2 linked regions of the Macaca fascicularis genome follow. The protein of the gene in region 1 binds, or shares a complex with, the protein of each later gene. Links are inferred from orthologs where the notes say so. Each region holds a gene or a part of one and is shown in the gene's direction. Other genes may lie near its edges.

Evidence for each region. The genes of interacting proteins can lie anywhere in the genome.
Region 2: the proteins of STAT2 (region 1) and IRF9 are in contact, whole or in part, in a crystal structure (PDB 5OEN), measured with the Mus musculus proteins. The link is inferred for Macaca fascicularis from reciprocal best matches to the Homo sapiens genes STAT2 and IRF9. Residues at the interface, in NP_064347.1 of Mus musculus: Arg163, Gln164, Lys166, Asp167, Glu168, Asp170, Val171, Phe174, Arg175, Thr177, Val178, Phe179, Leu181, Lys182, Asp188, His190, Gln191, Gln193, Gln194, Leu197, Thr201, Lys204, Met208; in NP_032420.1 of Mus musculus: Leu206, Leu208, Tyr212, Leu233, Asp234, Arg236, Ser244, Glu245, Ser246, Ser247, Met248, Asp270, Arg271, Leu274, Val275, Ala276, Asn278, Ser279, Arg280, Phe283, Val284, Gln285, Leu287, Cys313, Glu315.

Annotation. Positions count from the first base shown.
Region 1 is NC_088385.1:63,163,870-63,167,618, reverse strand, and holds the start of STAT2 (signal transducer and activator of transcription 2), read left to right. Parts: upstream 1-1,219; 5' UTR 1,220-1,438; intron 1,439-3,749. Other genes in the region: APOF (apolipoprotein F), read left to right, coding at 1-272. UniProt on the Homo sapiens protein: Signal transducer and activator of transcription that mediates signaling by type I interferons (IFN-alpha and IFN-beta).
Region 2 is NC_088381.1:91,979,654-91,982,898, forward strand, and holds the end of IRF9 (interferon regulatory factor 9), read left to right. Parts: intron 1-469; coding exon 470-811; intron 812-912; coding exon 913-1,039; intron 1,040-1,700; coding exon 1,701-1,816; intron 1,817-1,975; coding exon 1,976-2,109; 3' UTR 2,110-2,723; downstream 2,724-3,245.

The DNA of each region.
Region 1 (3,749 bases):
TGGGTCTAGCGATCAGTGCTGCACTTAAACCTGCATTAAGGTCTGGGGTTCAGCAGTTGATCCAGTATTACCAAGATCGGAAAGACGCAAACATCTCTCAGCCAGAGACCACCAAGGAGGGTTTAAGGGCCATCTCAGATGTGAGTGACTTGGAAGAAACAACTACCCTGGCTTCTTTCATATCAGAAGTAGTAAGTTCAGCTCCCTACTGGGGGTGGGCCATAATCAAGAGCTATGACTTAGATCCTGGGGCTGGGAGTCTTGGGATATAAAAGAAGGTAGTAACCACAGAACTAATAAATCTAATATCCTGACAAGCTGTATACATGTCTTCAAAATTTTAAACTCCGATTTATTCAGGAGTAAGGCTGTACAGTAAAACGTAGGAACGTAAATGTTTGGGGGTTGAAGTCAGAGGGTTTGGTTTTGAATCTAGGCTCCACTTGTTAGAGCCTCCGTGATCACTGACTGGTAACTTCTTTCTTGAACTAAGATCAGTTTTTAAATTTCTAAAGGAGAGAATGATTTTAACTTCAATGAGTTGCCCTGTAAATTTTAAATGACACAATTAATCTAAAGTGCTTATCACAGTACTCTCAATAAATAGCTATTAGCCAGGTGCAGTGGCTCATGCCTGTAATCCCAGCACTGTGGGAGGCCGAGGCAGGAGGATCACCTGAGGTCAGGAGTTCAAGACCAGCCTGGGCAACATGGCGAAACTCCGTCTCTACAATAAACACAAAAAATTATCCTGGCGGAGTTATGCACGCTTGTAGTCCCAGCTACCTGGGAGGCTGAGGCGGGAGAATAACCTGAGCCCGGGTGGTCGAGGCTGCAGTGAGCCGAGGTCGCGCCACTGCACTCCAGCCTGGGTGATAAGAGCGAGACCACGTCTCAAAAAAAAAAAAAAAAAAAATACTGTTTTCATTACCTCAGCCCTCCTCTTCCTATCCCAAGGCGTCGAAATTCCGGTCCCACCCCTTCCCATGGAGCCCTTGGCGTCTACAGGCTCCTCAAGCTAGTTTCGGTTCCGTGGCTCACGAGCGGGTTCTCGAAAATCAGCTGTTTCAGTCTTGGGCCAGTCCACTAATTAGACTCCTCCCCTCGTAGAAAGTGCCTACTTGAACTTCTCCACCAATCGCTGGAGCTGCAGGTGTGGTTTCGGCTCAGCTTGTCCCGCCCCGCGGGGGGGTGTAGTTGCGGCGGCGCCAGTGAGTTCGCAGTCTGGGAAGGGCTTGACTGAGTGGCAGCCAGTGTCGGGGTGGCGACTGGGAATGGGGCCGCTCCGGACTTCCGCTGCCAACTACGAGGGGGCGGGTCCGAGGGTGTAGGCCGAAGTTGTAGGCGGGGCCTGAGGCTCTAGTACCCGAACTCCTTCTACGGACGGGAAGTCGCGACCAGAGCCAGTGGAGGGCGCGGAGACTGCAACCCTAATCAGGTACGGGCCCTGAGAGGGTGTGCTGAGGTAGGGGTGGGGGTGAGAGTGAGAGTTCCTCCCAGGGAAGGGCGACTGGCCCCAGGAGTTACGCCCTGGAGGGGGCAGCTTCTGTCCCCAGGTTGAAAGAGGAGCTGTCTGTCGCCTGCTCGGTTCTCGATCTTCTCCTGTCCAGCCTATCTCCCCAACCCCAATGCCCCTCCCCGAAAACTGCCCTGCAGCTTCCGAGACCCGGAATCTGGCATTGTTGGTTCGGTATCTGACGTTACTCTGCTCTGCATTATTTTTTATCTTCACCTAAAAACGATGTTCAAAGATAGATAAATCTAAAAACAAAGATAGATAAATCTATCGTCTTTATTTGTTTTGTTTAAAAGTATAAGCTACTGAAAGATGAAACATTGCCTAAGGTCACACACAAAATTCAGTTCATTTCAGAAAAGCTTCTTGAGTGCAAAATATGTGCTTAAGAGTGAGAGATAATGAGAAAAAATTGTTTTAGCTCTTAACCTCAGTGTTTGCAATCCATTCGGGGAGACCAGGTTTTTTGTTTTGTTTTCATATTTGAATCTTTGCTGACTTGCTCCTTTAATATCAGACACTTAAATCCTCAAGAATTGGGACCTCATTATTATTATTATTATTATTATTATTATTATTTTAAAGATGGAATCTCAGTATGTTGCCCAGGCTCGGTTTCAAACTCCTGACTGAGCTCAAGCCATCCTCCCGTCTTGTGGGCCTCACAAAGTGCTGGGATTACAGGCATGAGCCACCATGCCTGGCCACCTAATCATTTTTTTAACTTATATTTTTTTGTATCATAAAAGCAATACAGACACATAGTTTTAAAAATCAAGCACTACTAAAAGGGTTAAAATGAAAATAGCCCCTGCCCAATCCCTCCCTTCCCTTGTTCCTGCTGGAGGTAGAAGGGCAGCTGATGTTATTCATGTTAGTAGAAGACTATACCACCCCAAGCATTTCTTTTTACTTTGTAATAAAATCATGTGACCTTTTTAGACCACTAATGTGCATGAATTCTGTTTTGTTAGGCTCAGGCTGCAACAAGCTTAAGTTTCAGTTTCCTAAATAGACACCAGATGGCAGCGAGCAGGGAACAGTGGGGAGAAGGATGCAAGGCACAGCCTGCTTGGTGACAGGCAAAAGCCAATTCATTGTTGTTGTTTTGATTCAGAGACTGCACTCTGCCTCCCAGGCTGGATGTGATCTCCACTTACTGTAACCCCTGCCTCCTGGGTACAGGCCATTCTCCTGCCTCAGCCTTTTGAGTAGCTGGGATTACAGGTGCCCACCAACATGCCTGGCTAATTTTTTTGTATTTTTAGTAGAGATAGGATTTCACATTGGCCAGGCTGGTCTTGAACTCCTGACCTCAAGTGATCCTCCCGCCTCTTCCAAAGTGCTGGAATTACAGGCATGAGCCACTGTGCCCTGCCAAAACAAAAAAAACAAAAAAAATTTAAGTGAAGTTTCAGGATCTCACAAAGTTGATAACTTATATTCAAGATTCACAGGTCATAAACGTGTCATATTCTTAGGGACTGAGCAACCCGTTGCATAGCATTTAGATGTCTTCTAGCATGGAGCTCCTCCTTCCTATATGGAGGGCAGTTTATAGGGTGTACTTACCTAACCTCCAAAAAGATTTAGCTCCTAAAAAAGCTTCAGGTGGCCGGGCATGGTGGCTCACACCTCTAATCCCCGCACTTTGGGAGGCCAAGGTGGGCAGATCACCTGAGGTCAGAAGTTCCAGACCAGCCTGGATGACATGGTGAAACCCCATCTCTACTAAAAATACAAAAATTAGCAGGGCATGGTGGTGGGCGACTGTAGTCCCAGCTAGTCAGGAGGCTGAGCCAGGAGAATCCCTTCAACTCGGGAGGCAGAGTTTGCAGTGAGCCGAGATCATGTCACTGCACTCCAGCCTGGGTGACAGAGCAAGACTCCATCTCAAAAAAAAAAAAAAGCTTCAGGGTCAGCAGGGATCATGCTGTAATAAATACTTAACATCAACACTGATCTTTAAATGCTTATATTTGTTTAGCATAAACAAATATAAACAACAAACACATAAATGCAAAATAAATGAATTAGAGAGATAGATGAAATAAGATAGTGGAAACAGTAGTTTGTTAAAGCTGGATGGTGATCCTTGTACTAGTCACTCTGCTTTAGTGTGTGTTTGAAAATTACCATTAGGCTGGTTATGGTGGCTCATGCCTGTAATCCCAGCATTTTGGAAGGCTGAAGCAGGCAGATCACTTGAGCTCAGGAGTTTGAGATCTGCCTG
Region 2 (3,245 bases), on another chromosome or scaffold:
TTTCTGACTTTCTCCTGTGCCCTGTGCCCCGAGGTCTTCCACCTTTGACTGTGCATGCATTATCTAGTCAGTCAGGGCTTACAGCAAACTGTGCCCACATTACCATAGCCCAAGGCACTGGTTTCTAGGTGGCGAGAATTCCACATGCCTGGCCAGACTCCAAAAAGCTTGCTTCCCAAAAATATCACCCTATACACTCTCCTGGAAATCTACATTGAGACGTTGATTTCATTGGGCCAAACAGAGGCCCAATCTCAAGGGACCTTCTAGTAAACTACAAGCCCCTGGTCATTAAACCCTGAGGCCTCATGGTCAATCACATACTAGCTACTTGCCTAAGTGACAGGAAAACCTGAGAAGAAGTCCCCTGGCTGGTGCAGGGAGGGAAGGTGGAGCTATTCCCCTGGGGAGGGGCTGCTGCCAGCCTGCATGCTCCTCCAGCACCAAGTAGGGCTGTTCTATTCCCCAGACTACTCACTGCTGCTCACCTTCATCTACAACGGGCGTGTGGTGGGCGAGGCCCAGGTGCAAAGCCTGGATTGCCGCCTTGTGGCTGAGCCCTCAGGCTCTGAGAGCAGCATGGAGCAGGTGCTGTTCCCCAAGCCTGGCCCACTGGAGCCCACGCAGCGCCTGCTGAGCCAGCTTGAGAGGGGCATCCTGGTGGCCAGCAACCCCCGAGGCCTCTTCGTGCAGCGCCTTTGCCCCATCCCCATCTCCTGGAATGCACCCCAGGCTCCACCTGGGCCAGGCCCACATCTGCTGCCCAGCAACGAGTGTGTGGAGCTCTTCAGAACCGCCTGCTTCCGCAGAGGTGAGGCTGCTCTCTCTGGGCACCTGAGCTCCCACCCCCTACCTCTTAGTACCCCCTGGGCCCAACTTGGTGGGTCCTGCCACTTCCCTATCTGCCAGCAGATCCTCCATGTAGCCTATGCATGGCACTCCTGCACTTGTGTGGTGCACATCCTGTGTGGTCATATGCCCAGCCTGGCAGCTACCTGGCAGCTCTCCTCCAGCCAAGACAATGGAAGAGGTGGTTCAGGTAGAGCCCAGCACAAGAGTGTCGTATCTTAAAGAACACCATCACAGTGAAGCATGCAGTCACTATGTGAAGGTGCACAGAAGAATTGGCACAGAGATTTTGAGCTTCATGGCCTTCTCCTATATACACAGATTTGGGAGAGCTGGCACACATCACACACTCTGGCCCTGGCTGCACTGTCTCTACTACAGTCCAGGCATGCCTTAGGGTTGCGCTTCTCTCCCATCCAATTCCAGCTCCTACTCAATTCTAAACCTGACCTTAAGAGTGGGACCAGGTGTACACGGGTGCAGAGTGTGGGTGTTCCCAGCACCATGGGTACCCTAGCACTGGAAGGGTGTGAGCAAGCAGCAAAGGTCTGGGCACATCTGTGTTAGCAGCCAGGGCTGCTGCCCGGGAGGACTCTAAACTCTCCCAGCAGAGAGCTTTTTCAGCTGTGCAGTGATCTACTTCTAAGCACTTATTTGAGGCAGGGCCACCCTTTCCCTATTTGCACACGGGTGAGTAGCATTTAGTTCCAAGTACTTCTGACCTTGCAGCTCCTGCTGTGGCAGGACCCCCTCCTACCTCTCTCCATCATGGGTTTCTCACTATTGCCTCCCTGCCTGTGGCCCTCTCTTCTTTTTGAAATTCTTCCAACCCTTGACCCTTTCTCTTTCAGACTTGGCCAAGTACTTCCAGGGCCTAGGCCCCCCACCGAAGTTCCAAGTAACACTGAATTTCTGGGAAGAGAGCCGTGGCCCCAGCCATACTCCACAGAATCTTATCACAGTGAAGGTGAGCTCAGAGCAGGGGCAGAGTACCCATCTAATGAGAGCGGGGGCAGTGGTACTTCAGGAGGCAAAGGGGGTTTCCTAGTGGGGAAGGAGCTCCTGGGGGTGGTGTCTGTCCCTGATGCACTCACTAAGACACTCTTCTCCATCTCTTCCAATACAGATGGAGCAGGCCTTTGCCCGATACTTGCTGGAGGAGACTCCAGAGCAGCAGGCAGCCATTCTGTCCCTGGTGTAGAGCGTGGGGTACCCATCTTCCACCTCACCTCTTTGTTCTTCCTGTCTCCTTTGAAATAGACTCATTCTTCACACGATTGACCTGTCCTCTTTGTGATAAGTCTCAATAGTTGTCTGTGATAATTGTATCCTGAAAATCCTCGCACACACTGGCTGGTGGAGCACTCAAGGCTAATTTTTTTTCCTTTTTTTTTTTTTAATTTTGACATATACACCCTCTTTCATCTGTAAGGGACTGGGAAATTCCAAATGGTGTGAACCCAGGGGGCCTCTCCCTCTTCCCTGACCTCCCAACTCTAAAGACAAGCACTGCCGGGCGCGGTGGCTCACGCCTGTAATCCCAGCACTTTGGGAGGCCAAGACGGGCGGATCACGAGGTCAGGAGATCGAGACCATCCTGGCTAACATGGCGAAACCCCGTCTCTACTAAAAAATACAAAAAAATAGCCGGGCGAGGTGGTGGGCGTCTGTAGTCCCAGCTACTCAGGAGGCTGAGGCAGGAGAATGGCGTGAACCTGGGAGGCGGAGTTTGCAGTGAGCTGAGATCCGGCCACTGCACTCCAGCCTGGGCGACAGAGCGAGACTCCATCTCAAAAAAAAAAAAAAAAAAGACAAGCACTTTATATTTTCCTCTTAGATATTCACTAAGGATTTAAAATAAAATTTTATTGAAAGAGGAATCAGTATCTGATTTTCTGGGAGAAGAAGGTAGCAGTGGTCACAGATAGAGATGTAAACTTAAGAGTGGGGCACTGGGGTTCTCTTCCTGCTGACATCTCCAGCCTTTTTCCTCTCCTCTGCCCACAGGTTCTGGCTAATATGCTATCTGGGCCCTGTGGGTCCTGGGCCTGGCACTCTACAGAGGTACCCTCTGGGCAGACAAGATTAGGGAGTGGGTTGGGATAGGCCATCGAAAGGGGCATCAAGCCTTCAGCCAGGCACTATAGCCACCAACTTCACATGGTAAAGTCTGGGCTTCATAGTTCTTGCTAGAAGGCCTCAACATCGGGCCTGAGGTTAGACTGGAGGTCTAAATGAAGAGGAGACACTTGAAGGTGACCTGAAACTATGGTCTAGAGGCCCTGGGGCCTGAGAACAGAGGAGTCAGAGCGAAGAGTTGCTAAACCTGTACCTGTTGTTACTGGCACCTCTTCCTCCAGCACAAATTTCACCGTCACCCCAGCAGGGTACTCCCA